7 linked regions of the Ovis aries genome follow. The protein of the gene in region 3 purifies or fractionates together with the protein of the main gene of each other region. This does not show direct contact. Links are inferred from orthologs where the notes say so. Each region holds a gene or a part of one and is shown on either strand. Other genes may lie near its edges.

Evidence for each region.
Region 1: the proteins of CSNK1D (region 3) and VPS13B purify together in Homo sapiens (affinity purification with mass spectrometry; 3 studies listed by BioGRID and IntAct, counting the BioPlex papers as one, with this or other methods). This does not show direct contact. The link is inferred for Ovis aries from reciprocal best matches to the Homo sapiens genes CSNK1D and VPS13B.
Region 2: the proteins of CSNK1D (region 3) and FAM83H purify together in Homo sapiens (co-immunoprecipitation; 5 studies listed by BioGRID and IntAct, counting the BioPlex papers as one, with this or other methods). This does not show direct contact. The link is inferred for Ovis aries from reciprocal best matches to the Homo sapiens genes CSNK1D and FAM83H.
Region 4: the proteins of CSNK1D (region 3) and GAPVD1 purify together in Homo sapiens (affinity purification with mass spectrometry; 5 studies listed by BioGRID and IntAct, counting the BioPlex papers as one, with this or other methods). This does not show direct contact. The link is inferred for Ovis aries from reciprocal best matches to the Homo sapiens genes CSNK1D and GAPVD1.
Region 5: the proteins of CSNK1D (region 3) and FAM110B purify together in Homo sapiens (affinity purification with mass spectrometry; 3 studies listed by BioGRID and IntAct, counting the BioPlex papers as one, with this or other methods). This does not show direct contact. The link is inferred for Ovis aries from reciprocal best matches to the Homo sapiens genes CSNK1D and FAM110B.
Region 6: the proteins of CSNK1D (region 3) and BYSL purify together in Homo sapiens (affinity purification with mass spectrometry; 3 studies listed by BioGRID and IntAct, with this or other methods). This does not show direct contact. The link is inferred for Ovis aries from reciprocal best matches to the Homo sapiens genes CSNK1D and BYSL.
Region 7: the proteins of CSNK1D (region 3) and FAM83D purify together in Homo sapiens (affinity purification with mass spectrometry; 4 studies listed by BioGRID and IntAct, counting the BioPlex papers as one, with this or other methods). This does not show direct contact. The link is inferred for Ovis aries from reciprocal best matches to the Homo sapiens genes CSNK1D and FAM83D.

Annotation. Positions count from the first base shown.
Region 1 is NC_056062.1:77,433,206-77,436,856, reverse strand, and holds part of VPS13B (intermembrane lipid transfer protein VPS13B), read left to right. Parts: intron 1-51; coding exon 52-222; intron 223-895; coding exon 896-1,097; intron 1,098-2,209; coding exon 2,210-2,398; intron 2,399-3,651. UniProt on the Homo sapiens protein: Mediates the transfer of lipids between membranes at organelle contact sites. Binds phosphatidylinositol 3-phosphate. Functions as a tethering factor in the slow endocytic recycling pathway, to assist traffic between early and recycling endosomes.
Region 2 is NC_056062.1:13,979,720-13,983,826, forward strand, and holds the start of FAM83H (protein FAM83H), read left to right. Parts: upstream 1-1,201; 5' UTR 1,202-1,290; coding exon 1,291-1,434; intron 1,435-2,670; coding exon of another isoform or gene 2,671-2,746; exon of another isoform or gene 2,747-2,819; intron 2,820-4,107. Other genes in the region: IQANK1 (IQ motif and ankyrin repeat domain-containing protein 1), read right to left, coding at 2,671-2,746. UniProt on the Homo sapiens protein: May play a major role in the structural organization and calcification of developing enamel. May play a role in keratin cytoskeleton disassembly by recruiting CSNK1A1 to keratin filaments. Thereby, it may regulate epithelial cell migration.
Region 3 is NC_056064.1:50,100,903-50,105,227, forward strand, and holds the start of CSNK1D (casein kinase I), read left to right. Parts: upstream 1-1,506; 5' UTR 1,507-1,560; coding exon 1,561-1,636; intron 1,637-4,325. UniProt on the Homo sapiens protein: Essential serine/threonine-protein kinase that regulates diverse cellular growth and survival processes including Wnt signaling, DNA repair and circadian rhythms. It can phosphorylate a large number of proteins.
Region 4 is NC_056056.1:10,762,819-10,766,972, reverse strand, and holds the start of GAPVD1 (GTPase-activating protein and VPS9 domain-containing protein 1), read left to right. Parts: upstream 1-1,227; 5' UTR 1,228-1,383; intron 1,384-1,890; exon of another isoform or gene 1,891-2,031; intron 2,032-4,154. UniProt on the Homo sapiens protein: Acts both as a GTPase-activating protein (GAP) and a guanine nucleotide exchange factor (GEF), and participates in various processes such as endocytosis, insulin receptor internalization or LC2A4/GLUT4 trafficking.
Region 5 is NC_056062.1:37,290,044-37,294,311, reverse strand, and holds the start of FAM110B (protein FAM110B), read right to left. Parts: upstream 2,856-4,268; 5' UTR 2,604-2,855; intron 1-2,603. UniProt on the Homo sapiens protein: May be involved in tumor progression.
Region 6 is NC_056073.1:15,720,932-15,725,285, forward strand, and holds the start of BYSL (bystin), read left to right. Parts: upstream 1-1,554; 5' UTR 1,555-1,713; intron 1,714-1,896; 5' UTR 1,897-1,900; coding exon 1,901-2,168; intron 2,169-4,354. Other genes in the region: MED20 (mediator of RNA polymerase II transcription subunit 20), read right to left, coding at 1,345-1,358. UniProt on the Homo sapiens protein: Required for processing of 20S pre-rRNA precursor and biogenesis of 40S ribosomal subunits. May be required for trophinin-dependent regulation of cell adhesion during implantation of human embryos.
Region 7 is NC_056066.1:67,743,170-67,747,094, forward strand, and holds the end of FAM83D (protein FAM83D), read left to right. Parts: intron 1-1,890; coding exon 1,891-2,869; 3' UTR 2,870-3,331; downstream 3,332-3,925.

The sequences.
Region 1 (3,651 bases), on a different chromosome or scaffold from region 3:
GGTTTATAATACATCTGATAATCATTCTTGTTTTTCCTTTCCATTTCCTAGAGAAGAGGATGACCCTTCACACTGTGCTGTTCCCATCTCAACATCCCTCATTAAGCAGATAGCCACTAAGATACACCCCGAAGGCACAGTCACTCAGATACTTGATGAGTTCTACGGGCCAGAGAAGTTCCTTCAACCCACGTGGCCCTATAATAAAAAGGACTCTGACAGGTAAGGTGCTTCCCTGATAGCTCAGTTGGTAAAGAATCTGCCTGCAATGCAGGAGACCCTGGTTTGATTCCTGGGTCAGGAAGATCCCCTGGAGAAGGGATAGGCTAGCCACTCCAGTATTCTTGGGCTTCTCTTGTGGCTCAGCTGGTAAAGAATCTGCCTGCAATGCAGGAGACCTAGGTTCAATCCCTGGGTTGGGAAGATCCCTTGGAGAAGGGAAATGCTACCCACTCCAGTATTCTGGCCTGGAGAATGCCATGAACTGTATAGTCCATGGGGTCACAAAAAAGTCGGACATGACTGAACAACTTTCATTTAAACTTTTCACTTTTTGACTGTTTTTCTATGAACATTTCTCAATATTAAATGAATGAACGTTCACAAAAATGTTAGATTCCCCAGAAAACATTTTAAAAAAGAAAATGTTTGCACCTATCTGTCACATTCTGACCTTTTATCTCCTAGTAGATGTATTCTGTAAATTGCTTCGTTCTTAATCTAGAACATAATTCCATGAAAAGTTTCTTCCTCCTGGATGCAAATTTGGCATTTCATGACTCTGATGTGAAGAGGTACCATAGGAACGTTGTGTGTCTGGAATTCTTAAACACATTTCATGAGTCCTGAAGTCATTATGTTTCATTGAGTCTTTTGGATGTGGTATTTGGCACAGGAATGAGCAACTGAGCCAGTGGGACAGCCCAATGCGAGTGAAGCTGTCAGCCTGGAAGCCATATGTGAGGACCTTATTGATAGAATTGCTACCCTGGGCCCTGCTTATCAATCAGTCCAAGTGGGACCTCTGGCTGTTTGAGGGAGAGAAGATTGTTCTACAGGTTCCTGCTGGCAAAATTATTATCCCTCCTAATTTTCAGGTACTATAACTCTTTTTTTAAACTAGTAGGAATTCTTTTCTTTCAACAACCATCTTTTATTCTGAGGTTACATTTATGTTCTTAACAGACTCAATCAGTTGTGGAAAACTGTCCTCCTAGATGCATATGTAAGGGGTATGGAATGTTCTTTGATATTCAAAGACATCTCAGATGTCTTTTTTTTCCCCACCCATCAGCAGTATTCACGCTTGAGTTATCATTAAATTCGATAACTTGTACTAGTTGCATTCTCATTTCCATTCCTCAACAGGATGTTTGACAAGTATTAGGACTGCTCTACTCAGGATATGTTAAGAAAATAGAGCTGTATGCTGTGCTAAGCTACCCTCTAGATGTTTTTGTAGTTTTTATAGAAACTCTCATAGATTTGCAAGATGAATAAGAAGATTTCTGAACAGCCTTTTTTGTCAGGCCCCTTTTCCTTTATAAGTGGACTTGCCTGTCCATAATCTTGGATGCCCACCTGTTATTGATAACAACATAGAATCATTACTAACAAGGGGGAAAAAAATCTGGTTGTAAAACAGAACTTCATAGGAAGATTTTATATTTCATCACAAGAGAACTTTCTTGATAAGGCTAGCCCAGTTCCAAGAAAGCATATAAATCTGTAAGAGAATAGGGTACATGGAATTCCTAAATAAAATGTTTTTCTGATATGGAACAATTTGAGAGTCCTTTTCTTTTAGCTCCAGTTTATAAACATCTTTATTCAATTGCATTTTTTCTTTTTAAAAAAAATAATCATATGATGTTACCTTATAGAATCGGAATGTTGACCTGCATGTACCTAATATTGCATATTATTCTTTTATCAAATAAAATGAAACCTTCAGTTTCTAAGCCTTTGGTATTTATAGGGTAGTCCCAGTTTGGGTTGATGTTTTTTCCCTCCTTCCATAAATACAAATTCCACTGTGATTCAAAGAAGGCATTGGGAAGTGAAATAAAAGGTATGTTGCCATTACCAAAAAAAAGTAAAAAGGATGTGGTTGCCTAGGTAGACCTATAGTAGAAAAAATTCCTATGAATTGAGGTAAAAATATCAAAGTTAAGAAAACTGTTTTATAATTGAGGCATTATTTTTCCAGGAAGCTTTTCAAATTGGAATATACTGGGCAAATACGAACACTGTGCACAAGTCAGTCGCCATTAAACTGGCCCACAACCTGACCTCTCCAAAGTGGAAAGATGGAGGCAATGGTGAAGTTGTGTCTTTGGACGAAGAAGGGTTTGTTCATGCTGAAATAAGACTTGGTGCTTTCCCAGGACATCAGAAGGTAGGGTCAAAGCCTCTCAAAGTCTGCTTGGCTCTTGGCTGGGATGGGGAGTAGTAGGGGGTCAGGGTGGAGCTGGGAATAACATGCCATCCCCTCAACTTGTTTAAAATGAGCCTTCCCTTTTCTTTTCTAATCCCTTTTTAGTATTATATGTTCCAAACAGTTTATAATAGTGCAACACATGATTTCTTAGACCTTTCTGTTTTACAGGGTTTCTTTTTTCCTTTCCTTTACCAGTGATAAAAGCTGTGTCACATAATTTATCCAATAACCACTCTATTTCAGAACACTCAGCAGTCACTTGATTTATCGTATGTGGAGGGAAAAAAAGAACTTATTCCAAAATATCCACAAATTGTACTTGGCCTCCTCATTTTAGAGCAGGAAGTAGAGTTGCTAACATTCTGGGTTTTGAGTGAAAGGACAGAGGCTCCTGCAAGAAAGGTTATATTCCTGGAAAGGGTATCCTGAGTGAAAGGATGTAGGTTGATCTGATTCTCCCATAGAACCAACGTTTTAAGAGGGAGTTGATTCTTTACATACATATATATATATAAAGATGCTAATGCTGGAAAAGACGGAAGGCAAAAGGTGAAGGGAGTGGTAGAGGATGAGATGGTTAGATAGCATCACTGACTCAATGGACCTGAACTTAAGCAAACTCCGGGAGATAGTAGAGGACAGAGGAGCCTGATGTGCTGCAGTCCATGGAGTCACAAAGAGTCAAAAATGATTTCGTGACTGTACAACAACAATTTATTTATTTTTGGATGTCCTAGGTGTTCGTTGCTGAGCGAGCTTTTCTCTTGTTGCAGCAAGCTGGGGCTGCTCTCTCATTGTGGTGCAGGGGCTTCTCATTGTGGTGGCTTCTCTTGTTGAGGAGCATGGGTTCTAGGGTGCTCAGGCTTCAGTAGTTGCAGCACATGGCTCAGGAGTTGTGGCTCCCCACCTCTGGAGCACAGGCTCAACAGTTGGGCACAAGCCTAGTTGCTCCGAGGCATGTGGGATCTTCCCAGACCAGAGATCAAACCAGTGTATCTTCAGACCAGAGATCAAACCAGTGTGTCTTGCATTGGCAGACAGATTCTTTACCACTGAGCCATGAGAAAAGCTCTGGGAGTAGTGTTCTTGAACAGGGATCTGGTACCCATGTTTATGAAGATAAACGCCAAAAAAAGATGCATAAATCAGTTACTTAAATATAAGTGGTATGTGCTTTCAACATGAATCTTTTCTAAGTAGTATATGAAGGC
Region 2 (4,107 bases), on a different chromosome or scaffold from region 3:
CACGAGCTCAGGGCAGCTCAGGGCAGCTCAGGGCAGGCCGGCCTCTTCCTTACTGCCCCACGTCAGTCCACTAAATGCTATCTGGGCCTTCCAACGTCCAGTCTCTTCCACCAGTCCCTGCCCGCGCCACCCTCCCACCCCCATCCCGCCCCCAGCCCCCAGTGGAAGTCTCCCTCAGAGGGGGCAGTGGGTCCATCAACTGCACAGGACGCCCCGTCCCCCGCAGCTCCCCGCGCCCGCCAGGTGGGCTTCTCCCCCCATACTGGCTGGGGGCTGGGGCCAGGGGCTCCTGTGGCAGTCAGGTTAGAGCAGTCTGTAACCAGTAAGCACCCTGCCTGGATGGTTGGCGCGGCCCGGGTCGCGGCTCCGAGCCCTGTGGGCTGCAGCTGGAGTTTCCCGGGAGCAGGAGAGGACGGGGTGGGACGGGGTGGGGGGGCACTGGTGCCCGCCCAAGGCAGGACCAGACGCGTCCCGACACACAGCCTGCAGTCTGGCTGCCGAGTCGCCTCCTCTGGTTTCTCTCAGTCTCCCTCCCAGTCTGGCCGAAGAGGCCTGTGCCCCAGCAGCCCTGCGCCGTGTCAGCGCGTTAGTCAGCCTCGCGCCGGGTGAGCAACCGCGCCGCCAAGTCCCTATAAACTCCCTGGCGTGGCCCAGCCCGCGGAGTGGGTCTGTGAGGCCCACAGACAGAGCCCGGGTCAGCGCCTCAGCCGGGGTGCCAGCCCAGGGGAAGGGCAGACACGAGGGGCCGCAGGAGCGGAGGGCCCACCGTGGCCTCTCAGGGGAGCCCCCTGGGCCCGCCTGACTGAGGCTGGCCAGCAGATGAGTCGGGGCCCCCGAGGAGCAGACACCTGGTAAAACAGGCGCCAGATTGGGGGCATGTCTGGCAAACGAAGTAGAGCTCGCAAACCCCGGCCCAGGAGGGCGGGCAGGGCAAAGAAGGCCATGGGGCAGCAGGGCCCTGAGGCCAGGCCCCCGCCCCCCGCCCCAGGCTGCCTGGGGGACGAGGCGGGGGTGGCCCCCGCAGGGCACGTGACCAGCAGCAAGCTGGCTCCCCGGGGGCACCCCAAGGTGGCCAGACCAGAGCGGCCACAGGGAGCCGAGAGGCCGGAGCAGGCCGCTGCTGTGGGGTCCGAGCTGGTGCTGGTGCCCGCTGCGGACATGGAGGGCTACGGGGTGGGCGGCCTGGTGCCAGGCCTGGGCCCGGAGCTGCTGAGGCTCCACGAGGTCGAGCTGTGCTTGGCCCAGGAGCAGCTGCTGCTGGAGGACCGGCGTCGGCAGGCCCAGCTGCACATGCGGCTGTGGCAGGAGGAGCAGCTGTGGCTGCAGCAGCTCCAGGAGCAGCAGGCCTGGGTGCGCGTGGAGGGGCTGGAGCTAGCCCTGGCCTTGGAGCAGCTCCGCAGCGAGGGCCTTGAGGCGCTGCAGACCCAAGACCCGGTAAGGCCTGGAGGGAACTGGGGTGGAGGAGGCTAACCATCCCGGGGGTGTGGCGACCGTGGCAACACCCATGGCACATCTGTGGCCCAAAGTGAGGGTGGTGCCCACTGCACGGGGCACTGCAAGGACCACTCAACAGGAAGCCCTCCCAGGCTGGCCCGATGCTAGAAGGCAGAGGGAGCCCAGGCGGGGACTGTTCAGGGAAACTGAGGCAGACGTGTCTCTGCAGAGCACCCAGGCATCCTGGCCCGGTGGGCCGGGGCAGGAACTGTCCAGCACAGTGTTTGGGACATGTGGGGTGAGGGCCGGGTCCCGAGCCCAGCTGGACAGTCAGCAGGCAGGACCAGCATCCCCTCCCCCGCCTGACACAGCTTCCTGGCCACCTGCCCGGCCTGCTGTTTATTGCAGAGCCTGTTCCCAGGGCTTGAGATGAGATGGCGGAAGCCACCTGAGCCATCATCCTCATTCCAGGAGCACTGCTGCCTCAGACGCAGCTGGGGCTATTTTGGGGAGCTAGGGTCTAACCCAGGTTGGCGAGGAAGAGTGGGCACTACCATCCTGCCAGGTCTGGGGATCTGGGAGGCCTCTGGGGTCCAGGCCCGCTCAAGCAGGGGGGCTGCAGCTGGGGAACAGGGTGTGGGGCTCCCCTACCAAGCACAAACCCCAGTACAGGCCTGTGCGTGGGGAGGACCCCTAGCTGCAGCCTAGAAGGTGTTGGCAGCCTAGCAAAGAACTCAGATAGTGCTGTGACAGAAGAAATGGGATTCAGAGAAGAGTGACCGTGGGTCAGGGTAGACATGGGAGGAGATGCACTTCCTAGCCCATGGCGGGACTGAGCCAAGGGCAAGCTGTCACCTTTCAGCCTGGAAGTGGCTAAAGAGAGCATGGCCTGAGGGAGCAGCAGCCAAGGAAAAGCACAGTAGGGCCTCGGTGGTGAAGAGGGCCAGAGGGGACCACACACCGTCTGAGAGTCCCCACCGTGGGTTGAAGCCCTGCTGTTTCAGAACCTATATTCAGTCCCCACAGGCCTGCTGCCTGTCTCCACGTGTCCTAAAGTTATGCTGTGAACACTGTCCTCGGGACCCCAACCCCAGGGGTACAGTCCCAGGGTCAGAATCTTGAAGGGACATCTGAGCTCTGACTCCTCTGTCTCAGGGAAGGCTCCTGGGCGGCTGCACAGCAGGTGTCGCAAGTCAGAGTCTGAGCCAGGCTGGAGGTCAGAGGGGTCACACTCACCGGCAGGGGCCCGTGGCTTGGCTCTAGGGAAGGACTTCCCTGGCGCAGCTCTGAGTGCCCCCTTCTTACTGCTCATTCTCCTGGGTGAGGGGAAGGTCAGGAGGGTGTGCTCAGAGTGGCAGAGACAGTGGGGACAGCATCACATGGACCTGCAGGAACAGACAGCAGGTGCCGAACTGGGGAACACAGGATCACCCCCAATGTAGCTTCCTGCCGGCTTCCTTGTCCCCCCACCTGCCCCTGGTTCTTGGCTTATGTGTGCCCAGTAGCTTGGGTGGGAATGCTTGGCAAGAACATCTGGCCACAGCTTATCCCCCTTGCCCTCACGTCCCTGCCCCCTCAGCCTGGCTCACCCATCCTTACCCCAGGATTGAAGTCTGGTACCCATCTCCCAGCTTCAGACCACTGGGCTTAGCCAGCTTTGTCCTAAACAGCAGCCTGAGACGACCTGGCCTTGCAGAAGCCTCTGTGCCCACACTGCCCCCAGCCCTCCCCCCACACCCCACCCCTCTCTCGTCTTGGCCTTGATAGGAGATGTTGTCGGGGCCCAGGAACAACACCTCTCTCCCTGGCCTACTCGGCTGACCACCAGACTCATTTCCCCAGGGGGGCCTCACCTGCCCCAGGCTGTGTCGCTGCCCCCTCCCCTGCAGCACTGCTGCCTGGGTGCTGCCTGAGCGCACACCTGTGTTCCCACCGTGGATGTCACTGAGCGTTTGGGGAAGGAGCAAATGCAACTGGGAATGACCCTGAAAGTTGGGAGAAAGTGACTGGAGACGGGCTGAAAGATGGATGGGCACTGTGGCGGGGGAGGGAGAGAGCTTGAGGTGGGAGGGCAGCGGCAGGTGCTGCCATGGGCTTGGGCAAATGGTCAAGGGCTGGGCAGGGCCTGCGTCGTGTAAGGGCCCCTCAGAGAGGGTCTGATGGGGAACTGGGGTTCTGAGGAGGAATCTGAAGTGTTTGTGGGGGAGGCTGGGGGACTGGGGCAGCTAAGGAAGGGAGTGTGTGTATGAGTGCCTGCACACAAGTGTGGCGGGAGTGTGCGGGGCTCAGGGACTTGCAGAGCCCCCAGTTTCTGAGGGACTCTGGGTGCTCATATAGCTGCCTGTATGTTGTAGGGTTCTGTGGGGGATGGCCCTGCTTGCGTGCAGAGTCTGTGCAGCAGAGCGTCCTGTATGCATGGACGCGGGCGTGCGCCTAAATACAGCAGGTGCAGGCCTCCATGTGCTTGTAGGGTCCTGTATGGACCTGGGTTTCTATGTGCATCGGGAGCGGAGGGTCCCATGTAAGCGGGGGTCAGTGTGTGTGTGTGTGGAGTCCCTTGTGTGTGCAGGTCCCTATGTGCCTGTACAGTCCCTGTCCACAGGTGTGTGCTACATGTGTGTGGGTGTGCCAGTGCGGGGAAGGGACTGGCGTGGGGAAGTGTCCCCGGTGTGC
Region 3 (4,325 bases):
ATTGCCCACCACTCATTAGTGGTTGACCCCAGTTTGCCTTGAAGCCTCTCATACTGTCTTCCGGCACTACTATGTAACATTCAGGAACTGATGCTTGCTCCTCCAACCTGACCACCAATAGTGTTCAAACGGGCTGCACTACTGTGGCAGAGTGGTGGAGAGGGAAGACTTGAGAATGGAGAGACCAGGCAGTTTCCTCCTCTGCAACTAGAGATGATGATCCAGAATCAACAGCCTGTGCAGCTATCTCACTCACACCTCTATGTAACCCCTGTGCTCAGAGTAGTATGTCTGTTGGCTGTCCAAAAATATGCAATAACAGCTTGTTCATGGTTCCTTCTTTTTGGTTGGGGTAGGAGATAGGCCGAGAGAAGAATCCAGGTGAAACTCATTTCCTTTTGGTTCAGGGGCCTCTCTGAAGAGCCAAAGCAGATTAAATGAAAACGGAGATCCAGTTTCCAGGAGACAGAACTGGAGAGGCAGGCGATGCAGGTCTCATCCTCTGAACCACGGTAACGTCAGCTTCACCTTTCAGTCTGACGCCAGAGGTCCTAGGACTGCTCCTCCTTCCGACAGAGGCTTGAGCTTGCTGTCGGCCCTTGAGCCTGCTGTAGGCCCGGGGCTTGGCTCATAGGGTGGGAGGGGAACTGCACAGTGCACGCCCTGGCCAGCCCAAGAAACCTGTGCACACTTGTGTCCCGGCCTGTGTCACTTCCTGCAGGCACCTGTGCAGGGAAGGGCGTCCCCACACCCACCACCCCAGCCGCCGAGAGTCCCAAAGGCGTGGGTCTGGGGCCTGGAGAGACAGGCTGTCCCCTCTCTCCCTCCGGCAAAGGGCAGTGCCTGGAAGCCTGTCCCATGCCTGTCGCGAGGAGACGCTGGCTTCCCAGACACCTGCGGGGACAAACGAAGTCCCTGCGAGAGCACGTGGATCCTGCATGCGGAAAGGGACCAGGCAGGGGGCTCTCGGCCAGGGACTGCTGGACGGGGGTGGGCAGGGGGCAAGGAAAGGGGAGGACTGAGACACCCGTGAGTCGCGACTACGCGACACAGCACTGGCTCCAGGCCCAGCCCTCACCCAGGCTCTCTCCCGAGGCCCCGGCCGCGCCCCTAACCCCGCCCCTAGCCCTGCCCCTAGGCTGCGCGGTCTCGCCGCCTGCCCCTCCGCCCGAAGCCGCGGCCCCGCCCCTCGGCCAGCACAGCCCCGCCCCACTGGGTTGCTAGGGGAAGTGACGTCACAGCGCGATGGCGGCGGCTCCTTCAGGCAGCTGAAGGGAGATTTAGGCCCGGGAGATCCGAGTCCATCCGCGGCGGGGAGAGGGCGAGCGGGGCCGGCGGGGGCCGGGACAGGGGCGGCGGCGCTCGAACTGTCTCATCCGCCCCGTATTGAGGCGCTGGGAGCGGCGGGGCGACCGAAAAGCGATGGTGAAAGCGGGGCCGTGAGGGGGGCGGAGCCGGCAGCCGGACCCGCAGTAGCGGCAGCAGCGGCGCCGCCTCCCCGAGCTCAGACCCAGGAAGCGGCCGGGAGGGCAGGAGTAAACCGGTCCCGCCGCCGCCGTCATGGAGCTTAGAGTGGGGAACAGGTACCGGCTGGGCCGGAAGATCGGCAGCGGCTCCTTCGGAGACATCTATCTCGGTGAGGCGCCCCTCCCCCCGGCGCGGGCCACCCCAAACCGGCGTCCGCCGGCCCCGGTTCCGCTCCGGCCTCCGCCCCGGCGACCCCGCCCCCGACGACTCGAACCCCAGGCCCGACCCTCTTCGCCGCGGGCGGTGAGCCGGGTCCCCGCTGGTTCGGATCTCCCAGCTCCCCAGGCAGGAACTTCTGGCCTTTTTGACCCTCGCCCCTCCACCCCACCACCCCACTCCGAGGGCACCTGCTTAACCTGAGCTCGCGGCCTCTGAGCAGTGGCCGGGAGCCTCGGTTAGGCCCTCGCTGCCCGCTCTGCCTGCCCCGCCTGGTGTCCGCTCCCAGTGGCCCCCCCAGGCAGACAAAGGCCGTCGGCTAGTGCGGCTCCCACGTCCTACGCCCGTGCGGCGGGCACGAGAAGAGTCCGGGGCTGGCCGAGGCTTCCTCGGCGCTCCTCGTGACGGTGCGGCCTCAGCTGACCAGCCCCTCTGGCTCGGAGCCTGGGTCGTAGACCGCAGGTGGCGCACAGGGTCGCCTGGGGGCCAGTCGAGTGGTCGTAGAGAACATGTTGCGCATCCAAGTTCCGTACTAGGTACCTCGGCTTAATCGAGAATGACATTCAGGTGATTCTGGACAAAGTCAGCGTTAGGGTGTTGGCAGACTTAGAGGCAAATAAAGTGGCAAAGCTCTACTCATTAGCTTACCCTTTTGCTATGAAAATTCTTCCAGGTAGACGAGGGGAAAGATTAGAACGTTCCGGATGGCTTCAGATTTCCAGTGAAAGAAAGCGCATATACATGTGTGTAATAAAAGGTGGTCTTGAGTCTTACAGTTGAAAGTTTAAAAATACCTTATTGGGTTTTCCCAAAGGAATAATTGTATATAAGTTACTCCTACCCCTGCGTGTGCAGAGGGACTCTCATTGCGCAAGTTTGGGGGTAAACATGCTCTGTGCTTGCGCAGCCCGCTCTGGTGTTTTTGTTTGGCTGGTGTCAGGGAGGGTCAGGAATAGCTTCGTTTGTCAGTAATGCTTCTGGGTTATGCCTTTCAGATGGTCCCAAGTCCGTGTGCTCACTGCCCCATCCTTGGCTATAGTTCCCAAAAGGATGCACAACCTCCTGGGCTGACAGTGTAAGAGGAATCAGCACTTAGGGGAGTTCCTAACTGTTTTTGGTACCCTTACCATACAGGGAAACCTGTCACATCCGTGTGTGCTGTACTGCCCTGCTGAGTAGAATACACTTTAGAGACACTTGGGTTTTGCTGTTTAAATATTTATGTCCGGTAGTCAGCAGTTGCCTTCTCAGCAGTGTTTTGGGAGGCAAAGTGCTGGGTAAATGCATGCTGTTTGCCTTATTTATAGAACAATAGATTTTGGCAAAAGTTTTAACCTAGGATCTAGGAGCCATACTGAAAAGCCAATCCATTAGCCACCTTTACACTGATAGGAAAAAGTCAGTGTTTTGAAACTTTGTGTTCTCTGGTCTGAAACCTTGCCAGACAGCCCTCTGCTTTCCAAAACTTTGTTCAGTCAGAGTGTGGAACACTGTCACCAGGTCATTCACAAAGAAGTTGAGAGTTTTGCAGGAGACCCTGTAGGCTTATTCACAAGTGTGTCCTTTGGGCCTCACCTTGTTCTGGACACACCAGTGGTGCTTGATACAGATCATCATGCTGACTGGTCCCAGAGGGATCTGTCTTCAGTTTTCTCCTTCACATTTATCCTAAGATGGATTGACTGTGCCTCTTGAGCGCTAGTTATGAGTACCCACATGGCCCAGCCATTGGAGTACACTTAGAGTTACTTGTGTGCAGTTGGATACAACCAGTTATTTTCATCAGCCTTGGCTCTTGGCACCATGTAGTGGTGGCTTCAGGCTACATGCTACCTCACTGAGAAAAATGTGACATGGTCTTGTTAGATTGAGATGTGACTGGAAAAGTGGGTCAGAGGTGGTTCAGTCGCTAAGTCGTGTCTGACTCTTTGTGACCCTGTGGATTGCAGCACCAGGCTCTCTGTCCTCCACTATATCCCAGAGTTTGCTCAGAATCATGTCCATTGAATTGGTGATGCCATCGAACCATCTTACCCTCTGCTGCACCCCGTTCTTTTGCCTTTAGTCTTTCCCAGCATCAGGGTGTTTTCCAGTGAGTTGGGTCTTCACATCAGGTGGCCAAAGTATTGGAGCTTCAGCATCAGTCCTTCCAATGAATATTCAGGGTTGATTTCTTTTAGGATTGACTGGTTTAATCTCCTTGCAGTCCAAGGGACTCTCAAGAGTCTTCTCTAGCACCACCATTCGAAAGCATCAATTCTTCAGCTCTCAGTCTTTATGGTCCAAGGACCATGGGATGTATTGAGTCATCTGTACCACTGTTGTTTCTGGGTTTGTTGGTTTTTTTTTTTTTTCCCCATTTTTTAGGCAATTAATTAGTCATTAGTTGAGGAATGAGGAATTTGGTTCTCATCTTAAAATTATGTCCCACAAATTATAGTATGATGACAATTAAAAGTTGTTCCAATTGCTGTCACTTTGCTATAGGTCAGATCACTCTGGACGACTCCTCCTCCACCTTGCTTTGAGTGTGGGGTTTGGGGTCTTCTTGGACTTTGTAGCGCTTTCAGATGTTTGAAGCTGAGGGTTAAGAGCTGTCCTTCAGCTTGCTAAATGCCTTATGAACCAAGAAGGCCCAGAGC
Region 4 (4,154 bases), on a different chromosome or scaffold from region 3:
TGCTGTCTATGGGGTCGCTCAGAGTCCGACACGACTGAAGTGACTTAGCAGCAGCAGCAGCTACCATCTGAACCACAAAGGAAGCCTCTGGTTGGTTTGGACAATGTTTTATAATAGAGCTGTGGAATAATCTCTAATCGAATTCTTGAGTCAGTTGAATGGCAATATGATAGCAATAATACCTGACGAGCTTACCACGGAATGCTCTTGTGATTAAAAAAAAAAAAAGGCAATAAATCCGAGGCAAATTTTGACAATTTCTAAAGATACTACATCAAGAATATGGAAAGCAGTCTGGGAGCTGAATCATATTTAAGTTGTTGCAAAACTGACAATTATCACTTTTTTTTTTTTTTGGTCTGGAGACGCCTAGTGTTGGAGGATATAATTATTGTGTTCAAGTTTTTGAAAGACTATCAAGGGGAAAATATTCTATATTGCTGTAAGCAGCATAACTACTAGCAGTGGAAGGAAGTAAAAGGGAAATAGATTTTGGTTCAGCAGGAGAACTTTCTAACATTAAACGCTGCCCAACAGTTGAGCAGGCTGTCTTACTTAAGGAAGTGAGCGCTCTGAAATTTGAACTGTTGAAATAGAAGTCGGACGCCTATCTGGAGGGAGTGTACAAGAGGGAATTCATGCCCGGGGGGAAGTTGGACTAATGACTTTTAAGGTGTCTTCCAATTCTAAGGTTTATAGGAGTGTTCAGTTAACCTGACATTTGAATCTATGTGAATTGTTATTTTTAAAAGATTGTATTAAATAAATAGTCAATCGACCTAAAAACTGTATGGTCAAGTTTACAGTATGTAAAATTTGATAAACATAGTGGGAAATCAGGTTTAAGACTGAAAACCTAGGTGTCATTAAAGGCAATTAGTGACACTTTTAACAGAAAGTAGGAAGAAAGAGCCATATGGGTTTCGAATGATGTGTTCAGGCCAAGTGACACTTGTCACCTAAAACATAAATGCTATAAATTGTTTTACTTTACACATGCTCAGACGGATTTTTTAACATTCAGCGGTACCGTACGCGAGAGCAAGAGCGGGTCTTTGGCTAACAAGTCTCCGGAAGCCCTTTCGCGGTTACCCAGCCGCGGAAGACCGCTCCAGCCCGCGGCGGACTCGGGGGTGGGGGGTGGGGGGTAAAAGCGGAAGAGGCGCCGCTGGCCGCGGGTCCGAACTACCAGTCCCAGAGGTCCCCGCGGCTCTGCGCAAGCGCGATGACTTGGCGGCAGCGCCGCCGCAGGACGCAGGGAAGCCAACTAGCGAGTGGCGGCGGCGGGGGCAGCGGCCGTGGCAGTTCGCGGCGAGGGGACGGCTCCGAGGCCGAGTGACGGTCCGACGCAGACCTCGGTGCCCTCTCCGCATGATCTTCTCGGTAAGTGCACGTCCCGGATCACCCCGCGCCCAGTGCGCGGGCTCCTTGCCTGGCGGCGGTGCTGCTCCGGCCTAGGGCCGCAGCCTGCGCCTGACGGCGGGCCACCGGGTGCAGCTAACCCCTGGGCCCTGGGCCCTTCCCTCCAGCGAGGGGAGACGTGGGGCCGGGGGCACACGATTCGGTCCAGAGGGGAGAGGAGGCGGCGCGCAGGGGACCAGGCAGCCTGGGGCGGACAAGAGGGAGGGACGCGTGGGGGATGGGATGGGAAGGGAGAAACAGAGGCGAGCGACCTGGCAGCTGGAGAACTGAGAATGGGAGGCGAGAAGGTGCAATATCCTCTGAGAGCCGCTGGTGAAGATGTCTTGGTTCGGAGACTCTTGACAAGCTGGACTCAACGGTCTGGGGGTGGAGGGGCAGCCCACCTACCAGAAACATACACACCATACTTGGCATCTTTCCACTTCCTGTTGGAGGTCTGTAAATAAGAAGCTGTCGGTTGCTTCCACCGCCTTTCCTTCAACTTCGTCTTTCATTGACTGGCAAAATTTTAAACGGGTGCTGGCTAAGCAAAGCAGAGAAATAAACAGGTAGTTCTGTCTGTAAATCTGCGTAAAAACAGGGAGGCGTGGTGGTCCGTTCAGACGAGAGGTAAGTCAAAGGAGAACTCAGTGTTTTAATTTTAAAATTTGTGCTAAAAATCAGTTTGAGCGAGGCTTTAAACTAGAAAGGATTTTAAACCTGGGATTCACCATTTGGTGGTTAGAATTCAGGAGCTCCTTGAACTAGAATGAGAACAAAACACGTCTTTATTATCTGATAACTGTATTGTCATTATAAGCAACAAACCACAGTAGAGTTAGCAATGCCTGTGACTTTGTCACCAACATAAATAATAGATATTTTTGTGTCTTGTTTACAGTTGTTGCAGGTATCTTAAAATATCATTTATGGTACACTCCAGTAAAACATTTTTAAAGTATCATTTATGCTTATAATTTCTTTGGATTATGGTATTATCAGACCCACTGTTAGACCTTGTTATTTGATAATAAAGGTACACATATATTAAAATATCAGGTTTTTTTTTTTTCATTCTTTTGCTAATAGTTCAGTATAATTAGTTTCTTTTGTGGTCGCATATAGTTAATTATGCATTTAAAAAGCAATCTGAGAAGGGGGTCCATAGGCTTCACCAGACTACCAGAGACCCATGGCTCAAAAAGACTTAAGAATTTCTGAAGCAGAAATAAGTTTTGGGGATCTGTAAGTTGGCTTGCAAGAATATTTGGATCATTAGATAAGAAAAAAGTCAAAGCAGATAGGACAATAGTGTAGATGAAAGAGGGAATTTTTGTAATCGGGGAAATAAAAAAATCTGACTGTAATCAGAGTAATAGTTTTGAAAAAGAGTATTGACCACAGATATTTCACTCAAGGTACTGAGGAATCAACAAAATAATCTGAGGAAGAAAGGGAAGTGAGTACTTTGGCCCTTAGATTTTTGTGTGAAGGCACCTCCTGGTTCTAAGTGATTGAAGGAATTGAGCCCTCCAAACTCTTATATAAGTCTGTGAAAGAAAATTTTAGTGTGTGCTGTTTTTCTTTAAGTCATGTAGGCAGTGTGACTTCTAAAGGGGGGTAGGATATTCTAATTTTTCTATCTTTTTTGGGATGCGGGGTGGTGGGCCACACCGTGAGGATTGTGGGATCTTAGTTCTGTGACCAGGGATCAAACACGGACCTGTGAGAGCACTGACTGCCAGGGAATTCCCCAGACTAATTTTTCTATCATTAAATGAAAACTGCAGGATCTCTCTTCGAGTGTGTTTTCCTGTTGCTGTTCTTTTCATACATGACAGAAAGTAAACGTACAGCTTAGAGTTGAAGAGTTACTAAGTCTTTTTCTTGAAATTTCATTTAAAATTCTTGTAGTTCAGCTGCTTTTTGGCCTCAGACTTCTCACTGACAAATCACTCTTAACATTTTTTCAGAATATGTGTGACTGGAAGTTTGCACCTGTTTGTAAACACCTGTCAGCATCTTGTGTGAAATATTGTCCCCTCTAAAATAATATCTATAATGAAAAACCAGTGCAGCAGACTCTTTTCTGAAATAGATGTTGGTGCTGAAATAGTTTGTGTTGACTTAAACACACTGTGTTACAAATCACTGCCTTGGGGAGGTCTTGCCATATACTTTCTGTGTCCTTACACTGCCTCTTTCATCATTCTTTCTCCCCTGCCCCTTTATTTTATTTATAGCATGTACCTATCTGGCATCATATTATTTGTATATTTGTATATATTTATACCTAAAAGATCAAGAGAATTTAGATTGGAGCTACTACTACTAAATGGGACAGTGGAGATTGGGGAGTGCTGTGTGGATATGTCCTTTGAACTGGACATTCAGTCGTAGATGTGATTAGCTACAGGGATACTGGAGAAAGGCCTCGGGTACAGGGAACAATTTGAACAAAGACAAGGACAGAGAAGTTTGTAAATCAAATAAACATCTAAGTCAACAGCTCACCGCCACCTCCCTCCCATCCATCCATCCATCCATCCAGTGCGTTAGGTCTGTAAAAGGAAAAATGGAAGAAAAGATTATGTATAAAGGCAGTTTGGGATGAACAAAGGCTGAGAAGTCTAGGCTCCCCATGAGAGTGTGTGACCATTTGCCTCCAGATGGATCTCTCCCTCCTAGAGCCCACCATTGACATTGCTCACAGGGAACCTGAAGTCTCTATGCTGAAGAACCAGAGGCAGCCT
Region 5 (4,268 bases), on a different chromosome or scaffold from region 3:
GTCATGCCTTTGCAGAGCTCCAGAGGCTTCAGCCTGAATTTCAATTCTTGCAGCATTGTATGGAGTGGTAGAATGACGGTAAAAACCAGAATACACGAGAATTCACCCTATTAAGTGGCTGTCTTAAAGTCAAGAAGTGAGTAGGTTTCTTATTTGTTTTTCTCTCCTAGGAGTTGAGTGTTGAGGAGAAAAAGAAAAAAGCCCAGGTTTGCTGAGAGATCCTCTAGGCTCAGAATGATCAATCTTCCTCTGTTAGGAGAAAAGAAGAGTCTAGGGTACAGTCAACTAAATCAAATTTTGGCCAACAATGTTTAACATCTGGAATACCTGGAATTATTCTTAACACCTGGACTTCTTCAGAGAGGATAGTCGTAAAAAGCTGAAAATGCAAAGAACAAACTTTTCTTAAAAGTCTATTCCTAAGAAGATTGTTAGAAGGTATCAATGCAGAAAGAGTGTATTTTGGGGAGAGGACGAGAAACAAAACTGAGAAAGGAATCCCTCCTCCAATTCCACTGGATCACACATGTCAGTCCACCAGCACCGGTCATAGCACCATCTACCGCCACATGGTCCCCACAGCAGCCCAGCTCTGCAGGGCCCCACGAGTTAACACCGAGCCTTGACTTAGCTAAGAAAACTGTTTAGGAATGAAAAAGATGTCACTTCAAAATTAAAAGTGATGAGGAGGGGGGAAACCTCAAAATGAGGGTTAACTCCTAACAATCTTTTCAAATGTCTAGGTAACAGACATCACCTTTCTGTTACGAACACATGATCATTAAGCCACTTTAATTTTTCTTTGCTAGTTACACTATACACTCTGCAGATTTTAAAGCACAGATAAGAATTATGTGTTCTGGCTGATGTAAGTATAAAGGGTACATATATTTATCTTTTATTACCTTTTGACACAGTGCGAACCACCTAACTGCTGTGCTAGCAGCCACAAGGAATTGAAAGTATGATTCTAAAGGATGAGGCTCAGAGCCCAGGTTTCTCCTTATGTCTAGGCTTCTCCCTAGACAAGGAGGCCCTTAAGGACAATGAGGTCTCATGAAGTGTGCCTGCATATGAGCATGTACAGAACTGTGTTCTCATTCTGAGATCTGCTATATCTCATGTATAAGAACACACACAACAGCCTGTCATAAGCAAAACAACAACCCAACCTCAATCCTGATCTAAAACTAAACCGCAGACATAAAACAGACCATAAATTAAAAGATCGGGGATTAAAACAAAACAACCATTTTCCATAGAGAAAAAAAACATATGGACTGATAATAAAAATTATAAATAAAACCAGCTGACACTTCCCTAGCACCATGTCCCGGAGGGCACGATGCTAAGCTCTTTACAGCTTATCAGGTTGTCAAAATACCATCTATAGTAATGGCACAGATTAAATACCATAGGGCAAGACGATGGAGTGTTAACTCAAGGAAGAAGGCTGGCTTACCATTAACTCACCCTTATGTCAGAATAACTGTACTTAATAAATAGCTCATTGGAATGACTAGGAGTGGTGACGTCGCAAAATAAGTACAAGTTAATTCGGGTATTTTCCATGGAACGACTCTAAGTGTAAATTGGAAGGAAAAGGCTAAATAAATAACTTGAGCTCCAACAGGGGAAATGAAGAAAATGGAAGTCGTTCACAGTCATTTACTATTTATACTGCAAAAAATGCTTACTCTACTATCTGCCTCCTCAGAATCAGACCAGCGCGCAGCCCTGACCATACCAGCCACGCAGTGTTATTACAGATGTGTGCCAGGTTGTGAATAGGACGTGGCCGGCAGGAAAAACGCAAAGTTAGCTCCTGTCTCGGGCGAGAAAGAAAGCCTGCTTACTTTTTGTGGCTCAATAAAGCTGAACACCAACTCTCAAGGGGTAAAAAACCGGACATCAGGTGCTCGCTTTCCGCTTTGCAGAGGGATTTGAGCTCACGATGAAGTTCCTCGCTTCCCTCCCCGGCCTGCACCCCGCACGGAGGGAGAGCTGTCACCGCCTGGGTCCCCACCACCACCAGCAGAGCCCGTGGACCAGGCAGCGCGCTCGGCGGCCGGGCTCCCAGCTCCGCGGGGTGATGGGGCGCCAGCGCGCCAGGGGTCTCTTAATTCCATTTCAGATCTGAACGCTTTCAAATAAAGTCCAGACAATTGAGACCACGAATGGAGCCCGAGGGGGTCCCCCAAACCAAACTTTCGGGGCCTCGGAATCTGCATATCTTGCAGGAATTCCCAGCCCACGAGGAAAAGAGACCGATTCTCGCAAAGTACTCAGGACCAGAGATGAGAGGCCGCGCGAGGGGGCCCTGGCAGAGGGGGTCCCGGGCGGAGCCCCTACCCGCGCGCCCAGCTCGCCGGGCCCCCGCTCCGGCCTCCCGCCTACCCCCGGCGCGCGGCGAGCTCGTGGCCCGGAACACCGGCCGGGGTCGGTCTGGGCCACGCGGCCCGCGCGCCCCGTTAAACCGAGACCCAGGCTGGGCGGGAGCTGCAGGGGCGGACCCGGCTGCTCGGCGGCCGCGCGCAGCTTCGGCGTTGTGAGCGATCGGGGCGCGGCGCTGCCCCTCAACTCGGCCCCCGGCCCAGCCTTACCTCGTCCGCGCTCCTCTGTGCAGTTCGAGCCGGGCACCGGGCTCCGGGGACGGCAGGCAAAATTGTCGAGGCCCGCGAGGGACGAGGGCCGGGCCGCCGGGGCCACCGGAGGGTAGAGCGAGGGACTGGGAAGGCCGCGGGGTCCGGGGCGCGAGGCAGCGGGGGGCCGAGCTGGCGGCGGCCGCGGCGGCTCGGTCTGAGCCGAGTGGGAGGACTCTGACTGCCAGCGCCAGGGAGCGAGGGAGGGAACTTGGAGCGAGTTGCCGCGGCCGGGAGCGCGTGTCCCCGCCGGTGTGCACGCCCCCGGGCGCCCCGCCCCCGGCCCCACCCCTCCTGCAACCCCCCCCCCTCCTAGCACCTCCCCCAGATCACCCCACCCCTCACTCCTATCGCACCCCCCGCCCCGCCTCCAAAGCGCTCCCGCATTGGCCCCCGACTCCCTGCAGGTTCGAGAAGCGCTGGATCTTAACTGCCAGGAAACCCCAAACCTGGAGCCTGTTCTGTGAGTGTGAGAACTCGCCAGTCCACCTACCTAGATGTCGGTGCCTGACAACATTTTCTATTGACTAACTTTCATCTACTCAGATACACCCTCTCAATATTTGTAAACTAAATTTCTGAAGGCTTTTTTTTTTTTTTTTTTGGTTTGTTGGTTGGTTGGTTTTGTTTTGCTTTTTTTTAAATTTAATTTTTATTTGAGCATAGTTGCATCTCCTGTGTCTCCTGCATTGGCAGGTGGATTCCTTCCCACTGAGCCACCTGGGAAGACCTCAATACGTAGTTTCTTCATAATGTATCAGTTTCTGCTCTACAGCAAGGTGAATCAGCTATAGGTATACGTAAATCTCCTCTTTTTTGGATTTCCTTCCCATATAGGTCACCACAAAGCACTAAGTAGAGTTCTCTGTGCTATACAGTAGGTTCTCATTAGTTATCTATTTTATACCTACTATCAGTAATGTGTATATGTCAACCCCGGTCTCCCAATTCATGCCACCCACCCTTTTCCCCATTGGTGTCCATACTTTTGTTCTCTACATCTGCGTCTTTGTCTCTGCTTTGTAAATAAGATCATCCATACCATTTTTTTAGGTTCCACATACATGCTGAAGGTATTTTTGAGACTCCAAAAGAGATTTGAAGAAGACATTAGAGAATATAGGAAAAAAATCTTCGGGTACCATGTACTAACCCTAGAGTATAGACCAACTGATGTTTATAAATTAAGTAATTATTTCCGGGTGCATCCTTATTTATCTCATAATGCATGGTTTGGTAATGCTTTTTCTTTTGATTTGCCTAATAACTTGGTTGGGGTTTTGAGGGTTTTATTGTTTTAGGAAGATTAAACCCATTCTTGTTTAGCGTTTACTATTGGGAATGCTAAAAGAGAAAACCTGTATTTATCAAAATGGTTGATTTTGAATGAGATATGAGTTCACAACATAATTACTTCTCTAAAATATGTAGCAAAATTTTATTTTATATCTTTAGCACATTTGAAATGCAGTTGCATTCATCCTGTTTTCTCAGGAGGATCATCTATATTTGAATTATGTGACTCTTGTTTCATGCAAGTTCAGAAATTATCAAATAAAGAAAACTCAGGCTCCCATAATAAATCTTTGGCTTTTTACAAGAGAACCATTTTAAGAAAGTGACATG
Region 6 (4,354 bases), on a different chromosome or scaffold from region 3:
TGATCAACCAAAATCGGCTAAATGAAGCTATAGAGTCCTACTGTTATTAAAACTGTCTCTAATCTCCATCAGAAAAAGTACTAACAAGTAATGATGATGATGTGCCTCATTTTGAAATATAAGAGAATCCCTAAGGTGATGCTACTGGGGTCAGAAGTCCTAGAAGCCTGAAAAAGTTGCGAAGCATCCCAAGAGAGAGCCCTTTCCCTGCTTGCCTTCTGCCCTGAGAGAACAGGTACTTCCAGGGTTTCACGCCTCTTTGCAGCATGCTTTTTTTTTTTTTTGGTTGCGCCACAAGGCATACAGGATCTAATTCCCCAATCAGGGATTGAACCCATGCCCCTTGAAGTAGAAGGTGCCTCCTGCAGTGGAAGCGTGGAATGTTAACCACTGGACTGTCATGAAAGACCCTAGCAAACTTTTCATTCCCATTCTTCGCACCCTTCTTACACTACAGGACTTTGAAGGAGGCTCATGATGCCAGCTTCAGGAAGCAAATGTGCAGTCACTGACAAATCTGCAAGACCTGGGCTACCAGGAATTCCCACAGGCTCTTACATGAGAAGCCTAGAGCCATTGCCTTCAGATAACCTGGCCTCTAAGCCCTCTCTGGGAGAGATGCTCAAGATATATATATTTTAAAGCTCTGAAATCTAGCATTTTGGAACTAAATGACTCGAAGAGAATTAAGCCCATACCTTTCCCTGCCACACTGACTTATAACGTGTTAAAATAAGTCCATAAAAACTAAACCAACCAGGTAATTAAACAGAATAGGAAACAGACCCTGAAGAGGTGATGTGCCTGTAATTCCTATCTCCTAATTCCCAACAGCTCCTTTTTTCCCTCCAGACTCAAGATCTTACAAAGGCCAAACTAGAACCAGACACATGCTGATCTAACTGCATTTAGTGGCTGTAAGGAGGGGCAGGCAAAAACCTAAAAAAGATACTATCTCCTTGTTGCCTATCCCCTACCCATCCAAGCCCTGCCTGCAGACGGGTCCGAGTCCCGACATACTACTTTCAACCCTAAAGTTCTACCCCAGGCTTCACGGTCAAGAAATTGTATCAAGAAAAAAGGAAGGAGGTACACGATCATTAACGGGTTCTTAAACCCTTTTTCCTGCCGCCTTCCAGGAAGAAGGGGCGAATCTCCGAGGAAAGGGGCCTGCAGATTCTGCAGCCCTCGCGGTGGCCCCCTCACTTACACAATCCGAGGACATTTTGCTCATCTTCCGGGGGACTGTGGACCCTGGTCGGGATCCTCCTCCCGGGTATATTCGAGGCTCCAGGGGCCTTCAAGTCCCCAAACCCCGCCCCACAAAGTCCTCTGAAGTCCTACCAAGTCACTCCCATGGTGTCGTGCCAGGAAGATGGGAGGATCAAACAAGTGAAATGCGCTGTGCTCCAGCAGCCCACAAGAGGAGAAACCACCTCGCTAAAGCGAGCTCCAATGGAGGCAGGCGCTCCGGAACTTACGTAAAAACACAGCGTCCAGTCGACACGCCCACGAGGAAGGGCGTGTCTGGGTCCTTCGGTGAGGTCACTGCCCGACTCCGCCCCGCCCCCGATCCCCTGGTTCGCCGGTCAGGGAATTCCCATTCGCCTGGGCACCCTGGACCCAGATCCATGAAACTAGGAAAGTGTATCTCGGACTACAACCACTTAGAGAAGACAACGTTAAATTCGGGAGGACCCAGCTCCAGGACCCGTGAGCTCTTTTTGGGGGGGGGGGGGGGTGGGACGGGGCTTCTGGCACACCCGGCCTCCAGACGCGAGGGGGCGCTGTGAGCTCCGGTGGGCTCTCGGGCGCTGGGTGTTTACCGCGCAAGCGCACTCGGGGCCTTTTTTTCCTCCATACCCACGTGGGAAACTTCACGGCTTGGTTTTCTAGAAAAATGCCCAAGTTCAAGGCGGCCCGCTCGGCCGGGGGTCAGGAGAAGCATGCGCCGCTGGCCGAGCAGATCCTGGCTGGTGACGCGGTGCGGGCAGGAGCCCGAGAAAAACGGCGGGGTCGCGGAACCGGAGACGAGGAGGAAGAGTACGTGGGGCCCCGGCTGACCCGACGGATTTTGCAGCAAGCGCGGCAGCAGCAAGAGGAGCTCGAGGCCGAGCATGGGAGCGGGGACAGGCCCGCGGTGCCGCGGGAGCGCACCACGCGGCTGGGTGAGTGGGGGGGATGGGGTACGAGGAGGAGGGTGGGTAGCTGGGGCGGACGGCTGAAAGGTGTCTGGCAGGGGAATAACTTGGAATTAAAAAACAACAACAACAAAAAACTGAGGCCCTTGGCAAAGGTAATGGGGTTGGGAGACCCAGCTCTGGGGCAGATTGAGGGTTGCCGGAGCCCTCCACGCCCATTCCTTAGAGTGGCACTCTTATAGGCATCACCGAGGTTAGGCCAGCAGGAAGTGGTTACTCACGCCGCTAAGTTCTCCTGGCATTTATTTACGTGTTTTGTAAGTAATCATGGAATGTCTACTACGCACATCCCGCCGTGCTAGGAGTTTAGATGGTTTAGATAAAAAACTGTAAACAGGGTAAAGGTATACCTAACGTCAGGATCTTCCAGTGTAGCCCGAGAGAAAGAATTAAGTAAGCAATTAGAATAATGCACTCGTGATAAAGTATAGCTTCTCTGACAATAGCATTAGTCTTGGGAGTCAGGTTTCCCAGGTTGCATGACCGTTGTGCTGAGAACTGAAAAGTAGGGAGTGCTCTGAGCACAAAGAACAATATTGTTTCAGGACTAGAAAGGGAGCGAGATTATTTAAAAGATGGTCATTTTTCTCGTTATTACTCTGAGAGTGTTGACCTCCAAGTTGCTTAATCCATTTCTCAACACTCATCTTTCATTTGTCTGTGAGCAGCATTCACAAACGGAGAAGGCAATGACAGCCCACTCCAGTACTCTTGCCTGGAAAATCCCATGGACGGAGGAGCCTGGTGGGCTGCAGTCCATGGGGTCTCTAAGAGTCGGACACGGCTGAGCGACTTCACTTTCACTTTTCACTTTCATGCATTGGACAAGCAAATGGCAACCCAGTCCAGTGTTTTTGCCTGGAGAATCCCAGGGGTGGGGGAGCCTGGTGGGCTGCCGTCTGTGGGGTCGCACAGAGTCAGACACGACTGAAGCGACTTAGCAGCAGCAGCGTTCACAAACACTAGCCTCCTTGCTACAGTATCTTTACTCCGCTTCTAAGACATCACATCCCTGTTTTGCTAGTTTTTCACCTCAGTGGGCTTCCCAGGTGGTGGAACCCACCTGCCAATGCAAGAGATGTTGGTTCAATCCCTGAGCCAGGAAGATCCCCTGGAGAAGGAAATGGCAACCCACTCCAGTATTCTTACCTGGAGAATCCCATGGACAGGGGAGCCTGACAGGCTATAGTCAGGAAAAGTCCACAGGGTCACAAAGAGTCAGACACGACTGAGTACACGCACACACCTCTCAGTATCCTTTGCTGGCTCCTATTCTCCCGCTTCCGACGCCTGCTGGTGGGATCTCAGTTCCCCTACCAGGGGTTGAACCCTGAGCCCCAGCAGTGAAAGCCCAGAATCCTTACACTAGGCCACCAGGGAGCTCCCTTTGCTGACTTCTCGTTTGTTGCCAGCCTCTTCCTGTAGTGCCACAGCATTACATCCTTGGAGCTAGTCTCTTCACCTCTGATGACTTCCCTGGTGCTGTCATCAGGGTTGAGGTTTAAATACTGTCTGTTTGGTAACTGCTTCCAAGTTCATATTCCAGCCTCGATCTCTTCCATGAAACCCAAAGTCTTATATTTCAGCTCTCTCTTTAGCTTCTCCAATTTGAAGTCTAAGAAACATCTCAGATTTAGCATGTCCAGAACAGAAATCCTGACCATCTTGCCAAACCTGCTCCACTCCCAGTCTGCTTCATCTCAATTAATGACATGATGTCCTTCCATTTGCTCCAGGCAGAAAACTCTAGACTTGTCTCTTTCTCGCTCCATATCCAATCAATTAGGAAGTCCTGTTGACTCTGCCTTAAAAATATATCCAGAATCAGATCAGTTGGCACCATCTTGGAACACCATCCTGTTCAAACCACAGTGATCTCTCACCTGGGTGACTGCAGTAGCCTCTTACCGAGAATCCCGTATCTGCCACAGTCTACTCTCCACTCAGCAACTCAGGATTGCCTGATCTACAGAGACCTATATGATCTGTACCTGTTGTCAGTCTGACCTCTCCTGCTCCTTTCCCTTTGCCCTCTTCTCTCCATCCGGGTCAAACCAGCTAGTTCTAAAAGAGATCAGTCCTGAATATTCACTGGAAGGACTGGTGCTGAAGCTGAAGCTCCAGTACTTTGGCCACCTGATGCGAAGAGCTGA
Region 7 (3,925 bases), on a different chromosome or scaffold from region 3:
TTTCATATGGAGGGTTTCTGCTTCCTGTAGAAACAATTTGGGATGTTTGTCAGGCCTTTATCTCTATCTTTCAGGGAACTAGGAGTTCCGTGATTCTGCTCTGTGGCAGATTTATAGTCTAAATTGTTACCAGTTCCCCAGCTCAACAGTTCTTTGTTGCTACATCTTCACATTTCCCAACCATTAACTCTTAAGTTGGCATTTTACTTCAAAAGACAAGGACACAGTGGCTCCAACAACTACCTCCTAAAAATGAAATATGCTTCCATTGAGGATGAGGATAAGGATAGGTTTCATTTGCTGAGGACTTTTTTAATCCTGGTGCTGGATAAGGTGCTTGTTTATATGATCTTACTGATGGTTTTCAAAAGGATCTTTCTTCTCCAGCTCTGAAGGCAGTTGTCACATGGTGAATTTGCTTTAGCCTGGGTTCTTGGTTACAAGAGACAGAGTTGCTACTATGTTTTATGATTTCTTCTGTAAACACCCTACTCCTGATACAAATTTTTCTGAGTCAGTGGGGTGATTGCATTGGTACAGAAAGCTGGCTCAAACTACTTTATGCAAAATGGAATTTACTGTCTCATCTAACTTGAAAAAGGTACCGTTGGTTTTCAGCTCATCTTGACCTAGGGGCCATGCATTTATCAGAGCACCATGTCCTATTTCTGCTTTTTTCTAGTTGATTTCTTTTTTTTTTTTTCCGGCTGTGCTGGGACTTCGTTGCCACAGATGGGGTTTCCCTAGTTGCGGTGAGTGGGGACAACTCTTCATTGCAGTGTGTGGGCTTCTCACTGTGGTGGCTTCTCTTGTTGGAGAGAAGGGATTCACCTGCTCCATGGCACAGGGGATCTTCCCGGACCAGGGATTGAACCCATGTCCCTGCATTGGCAGGCAGATTCTTAAATCACTGGACTACCAGCGAAGTCCTCTCATGGATCTTTATTTAGTCAGGTTTTCTGCTTGCAGACAGAGGTCCAGGCTCCCTTCATGTGAACTTCAGTAGCTATTTATAAAAGTGAGAGACTTCCTCTCTCTCCCTCTCTGATGGTATCATGCCTTGCAAAATTCCTTGGCTCTCACTGGCTTACCACCCACCCTGCGTAGATCCCCTCATCTAAGGGGTGGGATACTCTGGCCAGCCTGGGTCACCTGCCCAGCCCTGCTGTACCTGGAGAGGGTGCCTCCAGGCAGCTGGCTGGGCTAGCATGAGTGGGGCCCTGTCACCATAGGAAGGAGGCGGCACACTGAACTGCCAGGGGTGCGCGGCCTCTAATCAGCTCTGCACGTGTGTTGAGCAACAGTGTCATCATTCGAATGTCAGGCCTGTTTCCTCTGTGGAAACAGCAGCGTGGGCGAGGTAGTGAGGAGCAATGCCCCTGTGGTTCTCAAGGCCTGGGGCCCAGTCTAGGCTCTACCACGAGCTTCCCCTGGGACATCGCTAGGCACGTACCTCACTCCTCAAAGGAGGGCGCTGCCCTCAGCATCTTAGGAGCCCTTTCTAGTTTTTAGCAACTCTGAGGCCAAGGATCATACATTTTAGCCTTTTGGTTGAATACTGGTCTTTTTATTTTTTAATCTTTTGGCTGAGCCCTCTAGCACGTGGGATCTCAGTTCCCTGACCAAGAATCCAACATGTGCCCCCTGCAATGGGAGGTTGAGTTTCAACCACTGGACTGCCAGGGAAGTCCCTTTTTGACTTCAATGTTAACATATTCCTAGGTTATATCCTGTGTTAAGGCTAGCTGGAATTCACACTGCATGGTAGGGTGCTGTCACCTGAATTGTGACTCTTATGTCACAGGATGTTTGGGCTTTATAATCAGGTTGACGGTAAGTAGATGAAGATCAATCATCCTTATCAACTTCTGTTTGTTTCTAATCCTGCAGTTTTACATGGACGGATGGCAAACTAAACAGCAGCAACTTGGTGATTCTGTCTGGCCAAGTGGTTGAACACTTTGACCTGGAGTTCCGAATCCTCTATGCACAGTCAAAGCCCATCAGCTCCAAGCTCCTGTCCAGCTTCCGGATCAGCGGCAGGTTTGACCATCTTGTCGAACAGAAACCGCTGTCCAAGGAGCTCACGCTGGGCAACCTGCTGCGGCTGCGGCTGGCCAGGCTCTCGAGCACTCCCCGGAAGGCCGAGCTGGGTGGAGAGGAGGGCCGGGCTGAGGCTGGGTGCGGGGCCTCCAAGGCCTCCACCATCAGCGAGGAGGACTACTTCAGCAGCCGCAGGGACAGGCTGGAGGGCAGGAGGGCAACTGATGCCGCTACTCAGACAGAGCCCGGAGAGGAGACGCCTGCTGTGATCACAAGTGACGTGGGGACACAAGCCAGCGCGGCCACAACGTGCGCCGGGACCCAGACCACAGTGGCCACCAGGGTGGTGAGCTCCCAAACCGTGGTCCCCACCACATCAGCCACCACCCAGACTGACGTGGACGAGGGTGTTCTCGCCTCTCCCGGAAGCCAGTCTAAGGAAGGGTCACCAGTATCAAAGATGTCTGTGTCGCGCTCTTCCAGTTTGAGGTCCTCCTCCTCTCTGTCCTCCCAAGGCTCTGTGGCCAGTTCCATCGGCTCCCAGACTTCCTTCAGATCCACTGACTTTGCCACGCCTGGACACCCCAAGTACTGGAGCACCCCCCACTTCGATCTGTGCTTCAGAGACTCATTCAGAAACTTGAATAAAGAGAGACAGTTTCACTTTGCTGGGATCAGGTCCCGGCTCAACCACATGCTGGCCATGCTTTCAAGAAAAACATTCCTTACCGAAAACTACCTCGGTTTTAATTCTGGAAGTTTTGCCAGATCATCCGCTAACTTGCTGGCGGTTAGAGAAATCATGCTTTATCCATCCTATCAGTGACGGCTCTACGCATTCAGAGCTCCTGGCCTCAAACAGGCTTGCAGTAGATGTCACTGGAGCATCCCACTTTGCGGAATGTCTCCTGTCCTCATTGCCTTTCCTTCACTCTGATTTTCTTTGAATTCGATGAACTGCATAGTATTTTATGTGCTTTATCTTTATTTTTATCATGTATAAACCCAGTCTTGGTTTTATGGTTTAAACACTATGGGTACAGCTTCTTTGCACAGTTTTAATATGGATAGCTCTTCAAGAGAATGTTTCAGGGTTCTCAGGTAATTCAGGTAAGAGGTTAAATATGTTGCATTTTTAGACTTATGTGCTCATATTAGAGGTTTGAATTGCTAGTTTTCATGATCAAAATCCTGTTCAGGAAAAAACCTCAAAACTCTTGTTTCTTAGGTGTGTCCCTTTTTGAGGATATCTGTGTTCTTAGCATTAAATGGATGTAAAAAAATCTTGTTTGGTGGTTGCTCGTGTCTTTTTTTTTTTCCTTCTTCTCTGGCATTTTTCTGTTTAACTCTAGGAATGTGTTACAAGTAAACGCACCTCATAGCTATTTATGCATTTGTTTTTTAATAGTCTTGGGTGGAAAAGTAGATGACCGAAATTATAAAAGAAAATATTTAAGTTAGATGACATCAAAAAAGTGTCAGGGTCACACCTTCTCTAGAGATATAAATATCTATGTCACTAGCTCTACAGTTTGAATGAGAAAACTTGCCAGCAATCTCAGGTCTCTTCATGTGCTCTGGGTTGTCTTTTTCAGAGAAAAAGCTGTTTAGACAAAGACTTTAGTTCTGTGCTTCTCTGCCCGAGAAGGCCTCCGTGTGCATCCTGGATTCACCCTGATATTAACTGTAGTGGCCTCATGGGCCTAATTTCATCAGATGGGTGTATTGGCAATGATTTAGCAATCGGATATCCTGCAGTAGGGGCGAAAGAGGGCAGTGACAATTATCCCAGATTCCTAGTCCAGTGGCAGGCAATGCGACTAGTTTCTACACCCTGCTTGTCAGCGCTGGCATGCCAGTGGAATCCTGTTTTCATCTAGTC